3 linked regions of the Arabidopsis thaliana genome follow. The protein of the gene in region 1 purifies or fractionates together with the protein of each later gene. This does not show direct contact. Each region holds a gene or a part of one and is shown in the gene's direction. Other genes may lie near its edges.

Evidence for each region.
Region 2: the proteins of PARG2 (region 1) and PARP2 purify together in Arabidopsis thaliana (affinity purification with western blotting, with the first as the bait; one study listed by BioGRID). This does not show direct contact.
Region 3: the proteins of PARG2 (region 1) and PARP1 purify together in Arabidopsis thaliana (affinity purification with western blotting, with the first as the bait; one study listed by BioGRID). This does not show direct contact.

The regions. Positions count from the first base shown.
Region 1 is NC_003071.7:13,546,029-13,551,307, reverse strand, and holds PARG2 (poly(ADP-ribose) glycohydrolase 2), read left to right. Parts: upstream 1-1,736; 5' UTR 1,737-1,835; coding exon 1,836-2,084; intron 2,085-2,216; coding exon 2,217-2,402; intron 2,403-2,577; coding exon 2,578-2,681; intron 2,682-2,761; coding exon 2,762-2,966; intron 2,967-3,081; coding exon 3,082-3,186; intron 3,187-3,308; coding exon 3,309-3,427; intron 3,428-3,535; coding exon 3,536-3,679; intron 3,680-3,771; coding exon 3,772-3,856; coding exon of another isoform or gene 3,857-3,925; coding exon 3,926-4,126; intron 4,127-4,216; coding exon 4,217-4,279; intron 4,280-4,380; coding exon 4,381-4,518; 3' UTR 4,519-4,764; downstream 4,765-5,279. Other genes in the region: TEJ (Poly (ADP-ribose) glycohydrolase (PARG)), read left to right, coding at 1-11, 171-315, 431-628, 895-957, 1,148-1,309; AT2G31862 (B3 domain protein), read right to left, coding at 5,014-5,279. UniProt on the Arabidopsis thaliana protein: Poly(ADP-ribose) synthesized after DNA damage is only present transiently and is rapidly degraded by poly(ADP-ribose) glycohydrolase.
Region 2 is NC_003075.7:1,047,816-1,054,689, forward strand, and holds PARP2 (poly(ADP-ribose) polymerase), read left to right. Parts: upstream 1-1,950; 5' UTR 1,951-2,288; coding exon 2,289-2,372; exon of another isoform or gene 2,373-2,449; coding exon 2,450-2,711; intron 2,712-2,792; coding exon 2,793-2,938; intron 2,939-3,030; coding exon 3,031-3,112; intron 3,113-3,293; coding exon 3,294-3,529; intron 3,530-3,725; coding exon 3,726-3,855; intron 3,856-4,069; coding exon 4,070-4,125; intron 4,126-4,218; coding exon 4,219-4,292; intron 4,293-4,404; coding exon 4,405-4,451; intron 4,452-4,527; coding exon 4,528-4,577; intron 4,578-4,684; coding exon 4,685-4,747; intron 4,748-4,840; coding exon 4,841-4,921; intron 4,922-5,030; coding exon 5,031-5,141; intron 5,142-5,232; coding exon 5,233-5,308; intron 5,309-5,411; coding exon 5,412-5,554; intron 5,555-5,675; coding exon 5,676-5,749; intron 5,750-5,860; coding exon 5,861-5,966; intron 5,967-6,052; coding exon 6,053-6,145; 3' UTR 6,146-6,371; downstream 6,372-6,874. Other genes in the region: AT4G02400 (U3 ribonucleoprotein (Utp) family protein), read left to right, coding at 6,428-6,694. UniProt on the Arabidopsis thaliana protein: Involved in the base excision repair (BER) pathway, by catalyzing the poly(ADP-ribosyl)ation of a limited number of acceptor proteins involved in chromatin architecture and in DNA metabolism.
Region 3 is NC_003071.7:13,353,748-13,361,633, reverse strand, and holds PARP1 (poly(ADP-ribose) polymerase 2), read left to right. Parts: upstream 1-1,883; 5' UTR 1,884-2,055; coding exon 2,056-2,199; intron 2,200-2,948; coding exon 2,949-2,998; intron 2,999-3,078; coding exon 3,079-3,295; intron 3,296-3,392; coding exon 3,393-3,579; intron 3,580-3,690; coding exon 3,691-3,973; intron 3,974-4,122; coding exon 4,123-4,318; intron 4,319-4,417; coding exon 4,418-4,579; intron 4,580-4,651; coding exon 4,652-4,712; intron 4,713-4,794; coding exon 4,795-4,858; intron 4,859-4,950; coding exon 4,951-5,434; intron 5,435-5,518; coding exon 5,519-5,631; intron 5,632-5,714; coding exon 5,715-5,791; intron 5,792-5,894; coding exon 5,895-6,055; intron 6,056-6,148; coding exon 6,149-6,340; intron 6,341-6,423; coding exon 6,424-6,532; intron 6,533-6,668; coding exon 6,669-6,751; intron 6,752-6,861; coding exon 6,862-6,999; intron 7,000-7,128; coding exon 7,129-7,311; intron 7,312-7,540; coding exon 7,541-7,588; 3' UTR 7,589-7,886. Other genes in the region: emb1381 (embryo defective 1381), read right to left, coding at 1-20; AT2G31335 (uncharacterized protein), read right to left, coding at 467-649. UniProt on the Arabidopsis thaliana protein: Involved in the base excision repair (BER) pathway, by catalyzing the poly(ADP-ribosyl)ation of a limited number of acceptor proteins involved in chromatin architecture and in DNA metabolism.

The DNA.
Region 1 (5,279 bases):
TGTCTTTTAAGGTATGTGAAACCTTCTTTTGGGGATTCATAGGTTTTTCAGACAATCCACAGTTTGTGTCTATACAACATTTTGGAGTCTTGCTACTAAGTTCTTTCTATACTCTTCTATTCTCTTTCCACGTGAAATTTAATGTCTCCTCCTCTTTCTGCTTTTTTCAGGGAAATTAATAAGGCACTATGTGGCTTTTTAAATTGTAGCAAGGCTTGGGAGCACCAGAATATATTCATGGATGAAGGAGATAATGAAATTCAGCTTGTCCGAAACGGCAGAGATTCTGGTCTTCTGCGTACAGAAACTACTGCGGTTGGAATCATCCTACAAACCTTTAGTACCTTTTTTCATTTGTAGCCAATTTGAATTAGCTTTTGAAAAATAATGTTTCAACTTTTTTTGTTGTTCTCTACTGTTTCTGATGCAGTCACACCGAACTCCACTAAATGATGTTGAGATGAATAGAGAAAAGCCTGCTAACAATCTTATCAGAGATTTTTATGTGGAAGGAGTTGATAACGAGGATCATGAAGATGATGGTGTCGCGACAGGGAATTGGGGATGTGGTGTTTTTGGAGGAGACCCAGAGCTAAAGGCTACGATACAATGGCTTGCTGCTTCCCAGGTGCTTTTATACATCATCAGCTAAAAGTAATGAAATTATTATTTTCCTGGAGTATACAAGTTGAGTACCAGTAGGCCATAAGAATAAAAACATATAGATCTTTCTATGAAACCACAGACTTAGTCTGTTTTGACTGTAAGAAACACTCCATTGTCACTTTTGACTTAATTTTTCTAGAATGAACCAAAGCTTCGACTTGGATGATGAGATATATAGCGATTTTCATTTGATGCTTCTTTCTTAACTCGGTCATGGCTATATTTCAGACTCGAAGACCATTTATATCATATTACACCTTTGGAGTAGAGGCACTCCGAAACCTAGATCAGGTAACCTCCGATACTCTTTTAAACTTCACAATTCTAGAACCTCTCTTACAGTGTCTTCTTTTTCTCCACTGACATTTTACTTAGAATTGGGTTTGTAGTAAGCGGATAGAGCATCCAGGGTATAGTACTTTTAAGGTCGTCTGTGAACATATCTTGATTTTGAAACTGATACATACTCTTACAAGGATAGGTGACGAAGTGGATTCTTTCCCATAAATGGACTGTTGGAGATCTGTGGAACATGATGTTAGAATATTCTGCTCAAAGGCTCTACAAGCAAACCAGTGTTGGCTTCTTTTCTTGGCTACTTCCATCTCTAGCTACCACCAACAAAGCTATCCAGCCGCCTTGACTCTGCAAATTCTCCTTCATTAACTTGTTTGATGCATTCTCATACTGTATCTCTGCATTTTCCCACATGGGTGTGTAAAAGTGATTATTTTCCTCTTACAAGCTTGAATCCGTTGTAAGCTCGCCAGTTCTTGACCTCAAGCGTAATTAGTTTAGTGCGTTTGCTGATTTATGATTTTGGTCAAATGTTTGAATCAGGCTTTTGTTTTAAAGAAAAAAGTTCTTTTTGTTTATCAGTTGAAATTACAGGGTTATGCTGGAATCTTCTGGGAAAGTTAGTCCGGGAAAAGTTTATGGTCCACCAACATTTTGTTGTCAAGAGTAAATTTGACTCGGTCTTTCTGGAAAACGTGTTCCTGATTGACTTTGGTGCCATCTGTTAAAAAGAAAAATCAAATGGGTTTCTTTGTCCTTAAGCTACCAACGGACTAAGTCATATAGAGATACAACATCAAATGTCCATATCCTTAAATCATTTGCAAACTTTCATCTCCTAAGTTTTCTAATCTCCTTTTCAGGCAATAAGGATGGAACTGAGGGCAGATCTTAGGTCAATTCTTCAGTATTTGCCTCTTGTGGCTCAGTCTTCATCACTAGTTTGGCCACCTTCTGTCGAAGAAGAGCTCCAAACAATATCTAGAGGACCGAGTGAGTCAATGGTTAACTCGGGAGAGGCTCTTGCCTTGCATATCACGAATATGCGGAAATCTCTCTCCTTGAATGCATCTGATCTCGCCCCTTATGCATTACAAGGGTATGGTCTTTTCTTTGACAAGGTAACAATTCCTCTGTCCTTCTTTCATCCACTTTCTTAGTGTTTTGTGTTTTTCTTATTCATTTTACTCTTAGGGGGAACATTTGTCATGGAGCATAAAGTACTCACAAAAAAATTTCTTCTTGTGATGCAGAAAATTTCCAGAGAAGAGTCGGCAAACTTTTTTGGTGAGGTGGTTCCTGCATTGTGCAGATTACTTCTCCAGTTACCTTCCATGTTAGAAAAACACTATCAGAAGGCAGACCATGTTCTTGATGGAGTTAAGTCCGGGCTTCGTCTATTAGGCCCTCAAGAAGCTGGAATTGTGTTACTTAGCCAGGTATACTCTTTCAGTCCAAACAAAGACATGCCTTGTGTTGCATTGAATTAAAGATTGATATAGTAACTGTCTAGTACTCTTTGTAAATGAAATTTTGCTTGATTTTTGAAACCAAGCTTCGTTCCTTTATTCTTCAACTTTTTCACCCCTTGATGTATTTTGCTACCTTCTGCAGGAGTTGATTGCAGCTCTTCTTGCGTGTTCCTTCTTTTGCTTGTTCCCTGAAGTTGACAGAAGCTTAAAGAATCTTCAAGGAATCAACTTTAGTGGATTGTTTTCGTATGTGTCTTCATCATATTTCTTAAAAGTTACAACCATATATGCCCCAAAGTCACAAATCTTTCTTGTGTTTTTTTAAGGTTTCCGTATATGCGTCACTGCACGAAGCAAGAAAACAAAATAAAGTGCCTTATCCATTACTTTGGAAGAATATGTCGATGGATGCCCACCGGCTTTGTTTCATTTGAGAGGAAAATTCTTCCACTGGAATACCATCCTCACTTTGTTTCTTATCCCAAGGCTGATTCGTGGGCTAATTCTGTCACCCCACTTTGCTCCATTGAGGTATCATAGAAACACTCCTAGTTAAGCCTTCTTCGCCGTTGAATCCATTTCTTTCAGATGATTCATGAGTATGCTTTAGGTTATTCTCCTTTTGATCCATTTTTTATTGGAGTAGATTCACACCTCGGGAGCTATAGAAGATCAACCTTGTGAAGCTCTTGAAGTAGATTTTGCAGATGAGTATTTTGGAGGCCTTACTCTGAGTTATGATACTCTACAGGTCTGACTTGTACTTCCTTTTCTTCCATCTCTTCTAAAAACTCTACTATCTCATCCACTAAATAAGTTATAAGTTTTTCTTATTTCAAAATATGTTGAACATGTCAAAATATACCTATGTAGGAAGAAATAAGGTTCGTGATCAACCCGGAACTTATCGCTGGCATGATCTTTTTGCCTCGTATGGATGCAAATGAAGCAATTGAGATTGTTGGTGTTGAAAGATTTTCAGGTTATACAGGGTAAGTACCAATGAACTGAAGTAGATGTGTTTATTGGGTCTTCAAAGTTGATATTAAGCTTATTATATAGTCTTCTCTCTAAATCCAACTCATGGTGGCTCCATTCAGGTATGGGCCTTCGTTCCAATATGCTGGTGATTACACAGACAACAAGGACTTAGACATTTTCAGGAGGCGAAAAACAAGAGTCATAGCTATAGATGCCATGCCTGACCCAGGAATGGGACAGTACAAACTTGATGCCCTCATTCGGTAATCAAAACTTGTCTTTCAGCCAGTTTTTCATTCTTTCCTTTTTTTTATTTTGTTTGTGAATTACTCAATTGCTCCTTTTGTTTCTGTAGAGAGGTTAATAAGGCTTTTAGCGGATACATGCATCAATGTAAATATAATATCGATGTTAAGCATGATCCTGAGGCATCATCTTCGGTAAGACCACAATTATGCTCCATACATGAATTTAGCATACATGTTAAGCATTTTGTTTTTCTTGACTAGACCAAGATTAAATTTGTTTTCGCAAAGCAGCATGTTCCTCTTACATCAGATTCTGCGAGCCAAGTTATAGAAAGCTCTCATAGATGGTGTATCGATCATGAAGAGAAAAAGATTGGTGTAGCTACAGGGAACTGGGGCTGCGGTGTGTTTGGAGGTGATCCAGAACTAAAGATCATGCTTCAGTGGCTTGCCATTTCACAGGCATGCTTCTCTGTTTTCATCAACTTATCTTACAAAACATAATTATCATTCTATTTAACTGCGAAAACAATCTCGATCTACTTTCTCTAGTCAGGAAGACCCTTCATGTCATACTATACCTTTGGCCTCCAAGCCTTACAAAATCTCAATCAGGTTATTAGAATCCTAATTTATTAAACAATGAAACCACTCTTTCTCCCATTTCAACACTTTAAAAACATGCTCTATACATATATGTGTGGGTGTTCTTTCAGGTGATCGAAATGGTCGCTTTACAAGAAATGACTGTAGGAGACCTATGGAAAAAACTAGTTGAGTATTCTTCAGAGAGGCTCAGCAGAAGAACATGGCTTGGCTTCTTCTCGTGGCTCATGACCTCACTGTCTACCTAGAGTAAAAATTGAGTCAAAGTTATATAAAATACTATTCTTGTCTGAATTATGGGAAATGTATTATCCATATCTCTGTTTGTTTCTGACATATTAAGTCTAAAGCGTTAGATTGCTAATCCATTGTAGTGAAGTCAAATAATACTCATGATATAAAGTCTTTATGTAATTTGGTTAGTTCCAATCTTACGAGGATTATATATCTTGTGAAACAAAGGTAAGTGGGAAATAAAACTTGCCAAAAACAAACATCATCCGTTCAAACAGAAAGGAACGATATAGGGAATGAAAATCAGCACACTCTAAAACAACAGCACTCAGACTGTCTACACTAAGACCATTAACTAAAAACCAGTACTCAGAAAATTGAGTTTAAAAGACCAAAAAATAAAATAACACCTAGATAAAAAGAACAAAAATCCTAAAAAACCATCTTCGAGAGTCTGAAGAAAACTACTTGCAAGGCATAAAAAAAACCAAAAAACCAAGAGAAACTAATCACATAACATAGCTGTTTTTGCCAGGAAGTGACAACCGGAGCTCGAGGTCCAGCTCTGTGTCCGAGACTAGTGAGCTCCTCCTATTTGCCTCTTGTGAAACCTCGAGACAAGTCGTCTCCTCGGACACTTTAGCCAATAAATTTAGGCACTCCCAATCATTATCTGCATGAACTGGAAGTATTCTGTCACCCTCTTCTTGAGCATCAGCATGAGATATATATAGCTCGTCAGAATCTCTAGTAACAACCGGAGGCGAAGATGGAG
Region 2 (6,874 bases), on another chromosome or scaffold:
TTAAAAGTTTATTGACTAACTTGCGTGTACTAGCCGTCCATCTACAATACAAAAATATGTTATAGCCTACAATAAATGATAGTATGAAAAATTAAATAGCACTATGATATTTTGAGGCGGTGGAGTTTCTATTGATTGGTTATCGATGACCACTTGCATCGTCAAATGGTTCTTTGATTCGTGGTTTCGGCCCCAGCTTCATACTATCACGAGACTCGACCATCTTGTTTTTTTCTTCTTCTTCTTGGTAAATGGTTTCACAACTTGGTTCCTCTTTCTTTCATTTTATTTTATATACTATCATAGCATTTTGGTTGGATTTCTCGAGATAGTATATTTTTTAGTTACTATCATTACATAAGTATATTTTAAAAAACTAATTATATGAATTATGTAGCTAACTAGATAGATAATCGTATAACCAATTCATGTTAGTATAGTATAGTTTAAGTATGTATTTTGGGATTACAAGTGTGGTTGGCATCAAGACAAGGATGGTGATAGCCTTTCTCTGTAATTTGGTTTAAGAAAAGTTTTTGCATTTTATGTATAAACGTGTTTTTTTTTTATAATTTAAAATTTCAACAAAAAACAATTTTTTTTAATAATGATTGACCACTATAGACAATTTAAATGATAAAAAAAACCCCCAATTTTTCACAATGTTTTGGAGATTAGTCTAGATTTTTTGTCCAAATTTTCCGATTGTAAGAATTAAGAAGCAATGAACATTTGTGTTAAGCTTAATGATTTGTACTCACAATATCTTTTAAATTTAAAATTGTTAACCAAAATATCCTATATATTGTACTTGTAATAGAAATATAAACTATTAAAAACAACACTTTATTCATATAATATAAGTTAAAACATATGTTTTTTTTAGTATGTTCTAATCACACCTATTAAAAAAAGTTGAAGCTAAATGAGCCAAAAAGAAAAATAAAGATAGGGGATGGGGACAGGCTGTAATGTTAGGCGGTTGGTATATGAACTGAGAACATGTCTGTTGGTTCGGTCCATCTACACCACTCAACCATTTGGCTATGTTTTCTTTTTGGCTTTTGCATGTTCTCTCTACTTTTCTTCTTTGGTCAAAATCTCTATCTCGTCTTTTACATGGCTTACCCGAATGTTAGTTGTCATGTAAATTTGGTTATGAAAAGATATTTTATATAAACTTTATCGTATATTAATATCGTTATCATCTAACCATTTTTTAAAACTAAACTAGAACCATCCAGTTTTACAAGAGTTTTTTTTTTTTTTTTTCTAACTAAATAATATTTGAAGTGTACAATATTAACAATATATGGGCCAAATAATAGTGGAAACCAAATCGTTAGTCCCACTTTATGATGGGCCTGTTGATTCTTATGTCTTCTTCGTAAGTTGTGATTATGCAGATTACGGGCTAATAAACATGCATGTTTAGTTTTTACTGTCCAAGTAACGAAATTTTATCTTTTGGGTTGTTGGCCCATTTCATATATTCCAAATGCCAAATCCAGCCCGGCTCGACACAGCACTGCTCGGCTCAACACTCGTATGCGGTTGGTAGCCACTTAAGACCTTGGTTTGATTAACATGTTACGAATAATTTGTGTCCCTTTTTCTTCAAGGAGACTAATCTCTTTTAATAAAAAAGAATTGTGTCATTAGTCAACACAAGTCCTATAATCCGTTTACGGTAATTTGTATGCACGTCCTTGGAAAAGTGAGTAGTGGCGTAGCATTACAGCCAAAAACTATTTGTATATTTTTCTTTTCGTTAAACAACCAGCAAAATTTTCAGAAAAATGTTCTTAAATTATAAATTAGTAGTACATTTTAAAACATAGAGATTTTTTGTTTCTTTTAATAGAAGAGTTAAACCTATGTACAAAATTTCAACTCCTTTTCAAAGTATTTGCCTGTTACTAGATTTTTAACCTTTTTTTTTTTATCTTTCATGATTTTCTATTGCTTGCCATCATCAATGGTAGGAAATAAATACTATTTTAAAAAGGTCAGGGGTGGATTTAAGAATCAATCCAAAAGTTTGGGGTCTTTTGGAGATTAAAAAGTTATATGGGAAATATCCACAAATATGAACGAGAACTTTTGTCAAAAAAATTTAAAATAATTTTTCAAAAAGCCCTAAAGCTTTCAAGGGAAGCCATCGATGAAGAAGAAAACGAAGAAGAAGACTCTTCAAATGCTCGCGCGAACTCACTTCTGACGAAAACCATACTTCCTCAGTCTCATTCCCTTTCCGACGAACTATTCTCCTGAAGAAGAAGACGAAAATGGCGAACAAGCTCAAAGTCGACGAACTCCGTTTAAAACTCGCCGAGCGTGGACTCAGTACTACTGGAGTCAAAGCCGTTCTGGTATTTCTCTGAATTGCATTGAAATACTCTTTCTATTTTGTTGATATTCGAATTTGTTTATTGGGTGTTTCGTGTAGGTGGAGAGGCTTGAAGAGGCTATCGCAGAAGACACTAAGAAGGAAGAATCAAAGAGCAAGAGGAAAAGAAATTCTTCTAATGATACTTATGAATCGAACAAATTGATTGCAATTGGCGAATTTCGTGGGATGATTGTGAAGGAATTGCGTGAGGAAGCTATTAAGAGAGGCTTAGATACAACAGGAACCAAAAAGGATCTTCTTGAGAGGCTTTGCAATGATGCTAATAACGTTTCCAATGCACCAGTCAAATCCAGTAATGGTTTGTTCAATTCTCTGGACTATTGAGAAATTTGGTAAAAATTGAGTCTTTTTAATGTTGTTATTGTCATTGTGTATTAAGGGACAGATGAAGCTGAAGATGACAACAATGGCTTTGAAGAAGAAAAGAAAGAAGAGAAAATCGTAACCGCGACAAAGAAGGGTGCAGCGGTGTTAGATCAGTGGATTCCTGATGAGATAAAGAGTCAGTACCATGTTCTACAAAGGGTGAGGATTTGGAACCTAATCTTGAGTTTTTGCATCTTATCGTGTTCATGAATGTTGTTAGAAACTGTTTCTTTTTTTGTTGAATGTTGTAGGGTGATGATGTTTATGATGCTATCTTAAATCAGACAAATGTCAGGGATAATAATAACAAGTTCTTTGTCCTACAAGTCCTAGGTCAGTCTTCCAAAACCTTCAACAATAATTTCCCTGGTTACTTTCCAAGATTAATGAGACGATACTTGTCTTGTTCGAGTACTGGAAACCTCTTGAAGCAGCTTTTGATGACTCTTTGTCATTCTTCTTGGTTCCAGATACTATCATCATTGATCTATCTTATCTATTGTGCATTGTGCAGAGTCGGATAGTAAAAAGACATACATGGTTTACACCAGATGGGGAAGAGTTGGTGTGAAAGGACAAAGTAAGCTAGATGGGCCTTATGACTCATGGGATCGTGCGATAGAGATATTTACCAATAAGTTCAATGACAAGACAAAGAATTATTGGTCTGACAGAAAGGAGTTTATCCCACATCCCAAGTCCTATACATGGCTCGAAATGGATTACGGAAAAGAGGAAAATGATTCACCGGTGAGTGTTTTGGAATCCTCACTTCTCTTTCTCTTCTTACTATTTGTTGTGTGGTATGATCCAAGGGATCTGCTGGAATGAGGTTTTTGAGTGCATATCTACTTTTCTTTTTCCCGTTTAATTGCAATTATATATTTTTTTTCTCTTCGTTCAAATGTGCACTTTACTCAGAGTTCACGATTGTTTTTTTTCTCAGGTCAATAATGATATTCCGAGTTCATCTTCCGAAGTTAAACCTGAACAATCAAAACTAGATACTCGGGTTGCCAAGTTCATCTCTCTTATATGTAATGTCAGCATGATGGCACAGCATATGATGGAAATAGGTTTGAGTCTAACTTTGATCACTTCATTCAAGTGAGAGCATCCATTGGCAGATTAACAGTGATTTTTATATGTCGATACATTATCTCTTTGTTTTGGTGTCCTATTACCTGCGTTTGTACTTCCTATCTTTTGTCCTATCCATTTGTTTGCCATTTTGCTGGTTTCTTTACTTCTTGCTGATTTTTCATACATCTTCTAAATTTGGAATTGAAGGATATAACGCTAACAAATTGCCACTCGGCAAGATAAGCAAGTCCACAATTTCAAAGGTAAAGATAGTAAACAGTCTGTTTGGTCTCATTTCCGTAAATTATAGTTTGGTGTGATTTCAGATGATATAATCTCCTCTTCCACATGTCTAGGGTTATGAAGTGCTGAAGAGAATATCGGAGGTGATTGATCGGTATGATAGAACGAGGCTTGAGGAACTGAGTGGGTATGTATCTGGTTAATTGCTAGACAATTTTTCGCATTTAGTTGATTATGTAACTGTTTCCCATAAAGAAATTAGATTTGAACTAGTCTAACTTTGTTTATCATTGATGCAGAGAGTTCTACACAGTGATACCTCATGATTTTGGTTTTAAGAAAATGAGTAAGTTCATCTGTGCTAAGGTTTACGATATATATAACTAAACATTCACTAACATCTGAATTCCGAGCTGTAACAGGCCAGTTTGTTATAGACACTCCTCAAAAGTTGAAACAGAAAATTGAAATGGTAATTTTTCCTACTGTTTCCTTACTTGACTAGTTTTGGTCTTCAGAAAAGCAATGGTTTGTCGCTACATGTTTTGTGTAGTTTTTAATATATCGTTTTTTTGTAAGGTTGAAGCATTAGGTGAGATTGAACTCGCAACAAAGTTGTTGTCCGTCGACCCGGGATTGCAGGTAATTCAGTCAGTCTATGTGGTTTGAAGGCATGAAATCACTCCGTCGTATAGTTCTCTAAGAATATGACATTATTTTTTGCAATGGCTGTAGGATGATCCTTTATATTATCACTACCAGCAACTTAATTGTGGTTTGACGCCAGTAGGAAATGATTCAGAGGAGTTCTCTATGGTAAATTTTCGGTTTTGTGAACTTTGAACAAATATCTTTGATACTCGAGCATCTCAAACATGTCTGTGTTTTAAACCTTTTGGTGTTTACTCCTTAAAACCAAAATCAGGTTGCTAATTACATGGAGAACACTCATGCAAAGACGCATTCGGGATATACGGTTGAGATTGCTCAACTATTTAGAGCTTCGAGAGCTGTTGAAGCTGATCGATTCCAACAGGTATGTTATGGTATTTCGAGCTTGTCAGTACCATACACATTATTCTGATTTCTCGTTTTTGGCATTGTGAGACTTTAATTTTTCTTGGCAGTTTTCAAGTTCGAAGAACAGGATGCTACTCTGGCACGGTTCACGTCTCACTAACTGGGCTGGTATTTTATCTCAAGGTAACATGTTACTCTTTTTCCTCTTAGTAACTACTTTTTTTCTTCTCCTCTTGGGGGATTTTCAATTGCATAGTAAAATGAACAACTATGAGACACCAAGCAGGTCTGCGAATAGCTCCTCCTGAAGCGCCTGTAACTGGTTACATGTTTGGAAAAGGGGTTTACTTTGCGGATATGTTCTCCAAGAGTGCGAACTATTGCTATGCCAACACTGGCGCTAATGATGGCGTTCTGCTCCTCTGCGAGGTATACTCGCTTCTTGTCTCTATTCATATAGAAAACAACAAAACTACTGTATAACTACAGGACCTCTATAGCCATTCAACATAACTATCCTTATGTTTCCTAACGATAAAAACTTCTCTAGGTTGCTTTGGGAGACATGAATGAACTTCTGTATTCAGATTATAACGCGGATAATCTACCCCCGGGAAAGCTAAGGTATGAAGATAATCTCATTCATATTTCACACAAGTTCCTTATCTCAAACCGCAATGAATTATGATTTACTATTTTTGTACTGTACCTTGATTTGTTATTTGATGGTTGCAGCACAAAAGGTGTGGGGAAAACAGCACCAAACCCATCAGAGGCTCAAACACTAGAAGACGGTGTTGTTGTTCCACTTGGCAAACCAGTGGAACGTTCATGCTCCAAGGTTTTTGTTTTTGTCTTGCTTCAACACACATTCACAAAATCTAACTCTCTCAAATTTCATAAACTGACTTTATATAACTTTTGCAGGGGATGTTGTTGTACAACGAATATATAGTCTACAATGTGGAACAAATCAAGATGCGTTATGTGATCCAAGTCAAATTCAACTACAAGCACTAAAACTTATGTATATTAGCTTTTGAACATCAACTAATTATCCAAAAATCAGCGTTTTATTGTATTTCTTTCAAACTCCTTCATCTCTGATTTTGCACGGTTCACTCGTATATTGGTACGCTAAACCGCAAACCATACCCAATTTTATCCGGTTTAGTTGGTATGATTGAGAAATTCTTATTCTCTGAAACTCGATTTTATTAGTATTTAAGCGAAAGAGAAGAAACCCTACGAAAATCTCAATCGGAAACTAAACGGCAAAAAAAAAAAAAAGCAGAGGCAGCCATGGGAGAAAAGAGAAAATCTACTTCGAAAACCCTAGCTAAGAACAAGAAGAGGAAAGGTCCTCATTTGCCTAATTCAATCCTGAAGACTATTGCCAATGAGAAACGTCCTTTGAACTCTGACGAAGATGACGATGAGATCGATTCCGACGATGAAAACGTCGATTTGTATGAGTATGAAGAAGGTGTGCCTGAGGAAGAGTCTAAGAAAAACAATCGCTATGACCGCGTCGATAACTACGACTACGAGCTTCCCGAGGATTTCGAGGTTTTATTCTTTCTCTTCACTAATTCTCCGCCACTGTGTGAAATTGCAAGTTTTGAACTTTAGTGATAAGAAGATAATCTACAGATTTTGGTTTTAGCTCAATTAGGGTTTTTGCTATCGGGATTCTTACGCTATAACAAATTGGTGAATCCAAAATTGAGAGTTTTTAATTGATTGATT
Region 3 (7,886 bases), 190 kb from region 1:
TTCCAATGTTTATTCACCATTTCTCTGCTTCTCCTTCTTCTTGAGCTCGATCAGTGTATGGGGTTTAAGGACACTCCCAAATCTCAGGGGAAATGTTCAATCCAAAACCATGGAGGGTTTAAGCGTTCAAGGATCTCTCGCCAACGAAGAACAAATTTCAACTCGAACCAATCTCAACCGGTTTATACAATCGAACCAATATGAACCGGTTTATACAATCTGAATCATTTATCGTCTCTTAAACCAAATAAGAAGACTATTATTCCGGTTATCAAACATTTCCAGTACTATTACAAATTTGTTAAACAAACTTATACTTTCAAACAAATTTGCTCTCATAGCTTTGTTACAACTTACAAGAACATGTAAAGCATAGTTTCTCGTATACAACAAAAATGAATACAAAAAGTTCCACCCATAGTCCAAATTTTGGTATTGAGATCAAGCTTGAGATTCACAAGAGGGATCATCCGTGGCACGAACCCGAGCCTTTGGGGATGTGAGAGCAACGGTTAGGACCAGATCCAGGGACCGTACCCTTCTGCAAGGACTCGAACACGAACCGGATATCACTATCGAAGGTGATTCTTAACATCCTCGTGGCTTCTACTTTTGTGGAGTCCAAGAAAACCACAAAAATGGCAAGCATAATCACTCCAAAGATTACTTAATTCTTCATAATCATCACTTTAACTTTGTTTCTTTGTACTAAAAAGTATTTGTAGTAAGTTCGTTTACTCTTTTGTGTCGCATTGAAAGATATGAATATGAGTTAAATATATAGAGAGGGAGGGTTTACTTTTTTTTTGTCGTCAGGGAGGGTTTACTTGGATTCTTATGGATTGACTTTTTAGTTGGAAAAAATTGGTTCTCGACATTTGAACTAGAAAATAAAGATTGAGACTGATTAAACAAGTTAACACGTAAACCGGTTTTGTCTTGGACCGCAAGATTTCTTGCTCATACGGAAGGGCGAAGAAGATCACGCGTCTCACGAATTTTTAAGCAAATAGGAGGAAAATGCACCCGGGATGTTATTACGGTCCAACTTGATTAGTGTATTCCCGGTTTGATTTTCTGACAAATTATGGTGATCAATTTCATATTTTTTTGCTTCTTGTAGTACATGTTGGATTTTTTTTGTTAGTACAATATTCTGAAAATTTTGATGGAAAATGCAATCATATAATTATAGCGAAAAAAGGCTGCAAAGCTAAAAAAAAAAAAAATCGAAACAAAAACACAACAAATAAACTAAATGAGAAATTCAACTAGCAGTTTTTCAAGAAGAAACACTGATTCTGAACGCCGAATTAAAGATGGACATTCGCGTAATTGTCACAGTTCCAAAAATCTCGAGACCTTATCGTCGTTATTACGAACAATCTCTACCCTATACCAAGCTTCTAACCTCAAAGAGACGCTAACTGCTGTTTCGAAAACTAACACAAAACATGTCGGATTTAATTTAGCAATGTAGCTCTTACGTGGTCAAAATTCTCATTTTTGTTCCAATGTAAACTAGAAATGTACAGATGTTTTCCGAAATATACAACCACCATGATTCAATCGTTCGACGGATTCTGCGAATTCGTCCATGATTTGTTGATTTTTTTTGTTAATATATTTTTCACCAATGCTATTTTCTTTTTTCTTTTTTCAATTCCCTATTGTCATTTTATAGCCATAATTTTATGTTCACATAATCTTTTCTTCCTGTCTCAAAAATATAAAACAACAAGTGATAGTAATCATCGTCTATTGCATAACGGAGGGTGCAAATTATTGATTTACTAATCTGATATCAAATTAAATCATTGAATAAATCTGATTATCAAAATAATAATTGAAAGCAATAATCTTAAAACAGACTTTTTAGGGTAAAAAAGGGAAAAAGGGTTAAACGGTAGAAACACAATCTGGAAAAGCGTCGCCGAGAAGCTTTACTCTCACCTGAAACATTCCTCAATCCGTCGTCATCATAATCATCTTCGATAGAGAAGCCATACGTATAAATAGTACTCTCGCATTGTGTAATTGTCTCTTACCGGAGAAATGGCAAGCCCACATAAGCCGTGGAGGGCGGAGTATGCAAAGTCGTCGAGGTCTTCATGTAAAACTTGCAAGTCCGTCATTAACAAGGAGAACTTTCGTCTTGGAAAGTTGGTTCAATCTACTCACTTCGATGGCATCATGCCCGTATGACTCTCTTTTCTCTCCCAGAATTTGGAACTGTCTCTGTACTATACTCTCGTGCTTGTTAGTGTGCGTTCTAATGTTTCTTTCTGATTTTGAGGACAAAATTGATTCTTTTAGAATTATTGTCAGACAAATTGGGTTTATTTGGTTGAAATTGGTTATTTTTGAGGGTTCAATCCTGTTCTCTCTGCTTCCACTGTTCTACATTCCTTGCAAATTTGTGTGTGTGTGTGTGTCAAGCTTGTTTTCTATCTCAAAATTGGAACTTTTTTAACTTCTTAAATAGATGTTAACCTTCCTCACATTATGTTCTTTCCTCCTTTTGTGCCTAATCGAATGTGATAAAAGAGCATTTGAAGCTTAAATTTGAGTCACTTGTGTGTTTATTTAGTACTTGATGATTGCCAAAAGGTTCGTGCTTTTCTGCAATGACGTATGTGAACTCCTATTATTCCCTTTGGAACTCTGACGTTATTCTGTTTGGATGATCATAATCGTTTGTTTAGCTGTGTTTTGATATCTTTATGCCGCCAATGCTATGATTGCAATCAGCTGTGTTTTTCATGAGCTTTTATGCTTGTTGTTTAATGGAATGGCAGTGGTCATTCTTCTCTTCTTCTTTTCACTATGTAGTTCCTTCTTCATGCTGCTTCACTTCACCATGTTAATTATATGTTGCTTTTAGCTCCAGTTGACATGAAGTTTTCCTAGCTGACTATCCTCTTTGTACTTTTATTTTTCTCACACAGATGTGGAACCATGCTTCTTGTATACTAAAGAAGACGAAGCAGATAAAATCGTATGTAAAACCAATGTCACTTTGAACAAATATTTAAAGTGTTTGGCTATTAACTCGTTTTTGTCTCTTGATTTTGCTAGAGTTGATGATGTTGAAGGCATAGAATCACTTCGTTGGGAAGATCAGCAAAAGATTAGAAAATATGTCGAATCTGGAGCAGGGAGTAACACAAGCACAAGCACAGGCACAAGCACGAGCAGTACCGCTAATAATGCCAAACTAGAATATGGGATTGAAGTGTCACAAACTTCTCGTGCCGGTTGCAGAAAGTGTAGCGAAAAGATCTTGAAAGGAGAGGTAAATTGTTGTTCTACTTCATCTGTCATGGTTGTAGCGTTTTATATGAACTGGTTCGATATGCATTAGGGTTTTGTTTTGCATTTTTGTTTTCCAGGTACGTATATTCTCCAAGCCTGAAGGCCCGGGTAACAAAGGTTTGATGTGGCATCACGCTAAATGTTTCCTTGAAATGTCTTCCTCTACTGAACTGGAAAGTTTGTCTGGATGGAGAAGTATACCAGACTCAGACCAAGAAGCTCTTCTTCCCTTAGTGAAGAAAGCTCTGCCGGCAGCCAAAACTGGTAAGAGTCTTAAGGTGTACGGTAATATATTGATTTCCTTGTTACAGGATCCTGATTTGCAGTACTTTAGTCTGATCTTTCCGTTAATTTATTTTGGCCCAACTGGGACAGAGACAGCAGAAGCACGTCAAACAAATTCAAGAGCAGGCACAAAACGAAAAAATGATTCTGTTGATAACGAGAAGTCGAAACTAGCAAAAAGTAGTTTTGACATGTCTACAAGTGGTGCTTTACAACCTTGTAGCAAAGAAAAGGAAATGGAGGCCCAAACTAAGGAATTGTGGGACCTGAAGGATGATCTGAAAAAATATGTAACATCAGCTGAGTTGCGGGAAATGCTTGAAGTAAATGAACAAAGTACAAGAGGATCTGAACTTGATCTGCGTGATAAATGGTAAATTACTTTGCGAATCTGTCTGGAAGTTAATTGCTTGTCTTTTGTTCTATTTCTGTTACTGTTGTGTGGATCTTCTTAAAGGTAATTTGGATTAGAGAAACCGATGCATAATCATATGCCTAACCTCTCTATTTGTTTCTATTTAGTGCTGATGGCATGATGTTTGGCCCACTCGCTCTCTGCCCAATGTGCTCTGGGCATCTTTCTTTCTCCGGAGGACTTTACCGATGCCATGGATACATCTCAGAATGGAGCAAATGTTCTCATTCCACTTTGGATCCAGACCGCATCAAAGGGAAGTGGAAAATCCCTGACGAAACAGAAAATCAATTCCTTCTGAAGGTAAACCAGTCTTTTTGTAGAGTTGATATTGGTATGGGTTAGGTTAGATGTGGTATATATTACTCATGAAGTTAATATTTATATTTTGATTACTTGCAGTGGAATAAGTCTCAAAAGAGTGTGAAGCCAAAACGTATTCTGCGTCCTGTATTGTCTGGCGAGACATCTCAGGGTCAAGGTTCTAAAGATGCAACTGACTCCTCAAGGAGTGAAAGGCTAGCAGATCTTAAAGTTTCAATTGCTGGAAATACTAAGGAAAGGGTATGTTCTTCTGTCAAAAATTATATTGTAGACTATCTTTGCACTTCATTGCTTGATGGGATCATTTTGCAGCAACCATGGAAGAAGAGAATTGAGGAAGCTGGTGCAGAGTTTCATGCTAATGTTAAAAAAGGTATGGATAACTCGAGTGTCTATTTTTGATTATTGTGACACTAGTTTTAGCTTTTGAATATCTCTGTTTCACAAATTTGTAGGTACAAGCTGTTTGGTTGTTTGTGGACTGACAGATATCAGAGACGCTGAAATGAGAAAGGCAAGGTAGAATATTGCCTTCATTGTGCTGATACTCTTTAACTTTGTCACACTATTTTTTCTCACTTTGAACGCTGGAGTTGATAAATGTGTGGCAGGAGGATGAAAGTGGCAATCGTGAGAGAGGATTATTTGGTTGATTGTTTTAAAAAACAGAGGAAACTTCCATTTGACAAGTACAAAATTGAAGACACTAGTGAGAGCCTTGTCACTGTTAAAGTAAAAGGACGAAGCGCTGTGCATGAAGCGTCTGGCCTCCAAGAGCACTGTCACATTCTTGAAGATGGGAACAGTATCTATAACACAACTCTGAGCATGTCTGATCTCTCTACCGGTATCAATAGTTATTACATACTCCAGATAATCCAAGAAGATAAAGGTTCAGATTGTTACGTATTTCGTAAATGGGGCCGAGTTGGAAATGAAAAGATTGGTGGTAACAAAGTGGAGGAAATGTCAAAGTCTGATGCGGTTCACGAATTCAAACGTCTATTTCTTGAAAAAACCGGAAACACATGGGAATCTTGGGAACAAAAAACGAATTTCCAGAAACAACCTGGAAAATTTCTCCCGTTGGACATTGTAAGCATCCATATGACTATATCTTTGTCTCTTAAGATTCTCTTATGTATCGTTCAATAAACTCTTTTGTATCGTTTGTTTTAGGATTATGGAGTTAATAAGCAAGTAGCCAAAAAAGAGCCATTTCAGACCAGTAGCAACCTTGCTCCATCATTAATAGAATTGATGAAGATGCTTTTTGATGTGGAAACTTACAGGTTAGAAACTTATTTGCCATTGTCTTCTTCTCCTCTTCTCTCCCTAGAAACTGTATGAAGTAACCTAATAATTACTTCCGCAGATCTGCAATGATGGAGTTCGAGATAAATATGTCAGAGATGCCACTTGGGAAGCTCAGCAAACATAATATACAGAAGGGTAACTCCTACTTCTCTAGTTTACTTTTTTATATGATAAAAATAATAAAATGTTAATTCTACATTACATTCTATTATGTTTTTTCTTGTTTGTTCTTCTAAAGGTTTTGAGGCATTGACGGAGATACAGAGGCTATTGACTGAAAGCGACCCCCAGCCTACTATGAAAGAAAGCTTGCTTGTTGATGCTAGTAACAGATTTTTTACCATGATCCCTTCTATTCATCCTCATATTATCCGAGATGAAGATGACTTTAAGTCAAAGGTACTTGCCATAGAACATGAACCATGGTGTTGTTTTTTAATTCCTAGCCTCTTTTTCTGTGTTACAAAGAGGTATTGTATCTGTGTGTCACAGGTGAAAATGCTCGAGGCTCTGCAGGATATCGAAATAGCTTCAAGAATAGTTGGCTTTGATGTTGATAGCACCGAATCTCTTGATGATAAGTATAAGAAGCTGCATTGCGATATCTCACCACTTCCTCATGATAGCGAAGATTATCGATTAATCGAGAAGTATCTTAACACAACTCATGCCCCAACGCATACAGTGAGTTCAAGCTCTGTTTATCCCTTTTCATGTTTTGTTTATCATAATTTTCTAATTCAATTTCTGGTCACTGGATTTGTCAGGAGTGGAGTCTTGAGCTAGAGGAAGTTTTTGCTCTTGAAAGAGAAGGAGAGTTTGATAAATATGCTCCCCACAGAGAAAAACTTGGCAATAAGATGCTCCTATGGCATGGTAAGCCAACTGCAACCAGCCACATTTACATGCTTTGGGAAACAGATACAAGAAATTTCATTGTTTGGTTGATTCTATATATTTGGCTGGTTGATCATCAAAACCCTTGGTTTAACCAAAATAAATCTGCTTTCAGGTTCTCGATTAACGAATTTTGTTGGAATATTGAACCAAGGACTGAGAATTGCACCTCCAGAAGCTCCTGCTACTGGTTACATGGTCAGTACTCTATCTGTGTCTTATTTGTGGGGATCTTATCAATTGAGAGTTCTTCACTATCTAGTTAACTTGTTAGAGAATCTGAACTTTTTTTAAACCCCATGTTTCAGTTTGGAAAAGGGATATACTTTGCTGACCTTGTCAGTAAAAGTGCTCAGTACTGCTACACTTGTAAGAAAAATCCGGTGGGTCTAATGCTTCTGAGTGAAGTTGCATTGGGAGAAATACATGAGCTAACAAAAGCTAAGGTGAGCCCATATTACAGTTTTTCAGGTTATGCTACTAACCATTTGGTTCTTATCTTGAAAACTATATGAACAACTTAAGATATTACTTACCTTCATATATGACTTTCTCTTATGTCCTCAATTCTTTAGTATATGGATAAACCTCCGAGAGGGAAACACTCGACCAAAGGGCTCGGCAAGAAAGTGCCTCAAGATTCCGAGTTTGCCAAGTGGAGAGGTGATGTGACTGTTCCCTGTGGAAAACCTGTTTCATCAAAGGTCAAGGCTTCTGAGCTTATGTACAATGAGTATATCGTCTACGATACAGCCCAGGTAACTTGTGTTTCCAAAATAATCTTCCTTGTTCCTTACAACAATGGGATATTGCGCACACACTAAAGTCCTCTTTTGTTCTTATCGGGTACTTGGGAATGAGAACTGAATTCCCTAGAAAGCTCATGCTTTAGAATACGGCTTTAGCTATTAGTTTTGCAACATATTCTGTGTTTGATTCTTTTATGGTGTGTACATGTCTGACAAAGATTGCTTTGTCTCTGAACAGGTGAAGTTGCAGTTCTTGTTGAAAGTAAGGTTTAAGCACAAGAGATGAGCCTGAACCAAACAAGAAGACGTCACTTCTGTTAACTAAATGTTTTTTTGGGAAATCGAATCCAACACGAAGACTTAACTTTTGTAACTAAATGTCTTTTGATAAATCGAATCCAACATGTAGTCACAGATTTAACTCTCTGGCGTTGTAGATGTTTCTGGTTTTAAAACAGCGTACACTACATTTTGTTATGCTTTTTCTCAGTAATGACACTTCTTAAGACTTGACACTTGTTCAGATCTGATGTTGTACCTATGAAAGATCATCGAAGAAGTGGTTATTCTCAAAGAGAAAATGG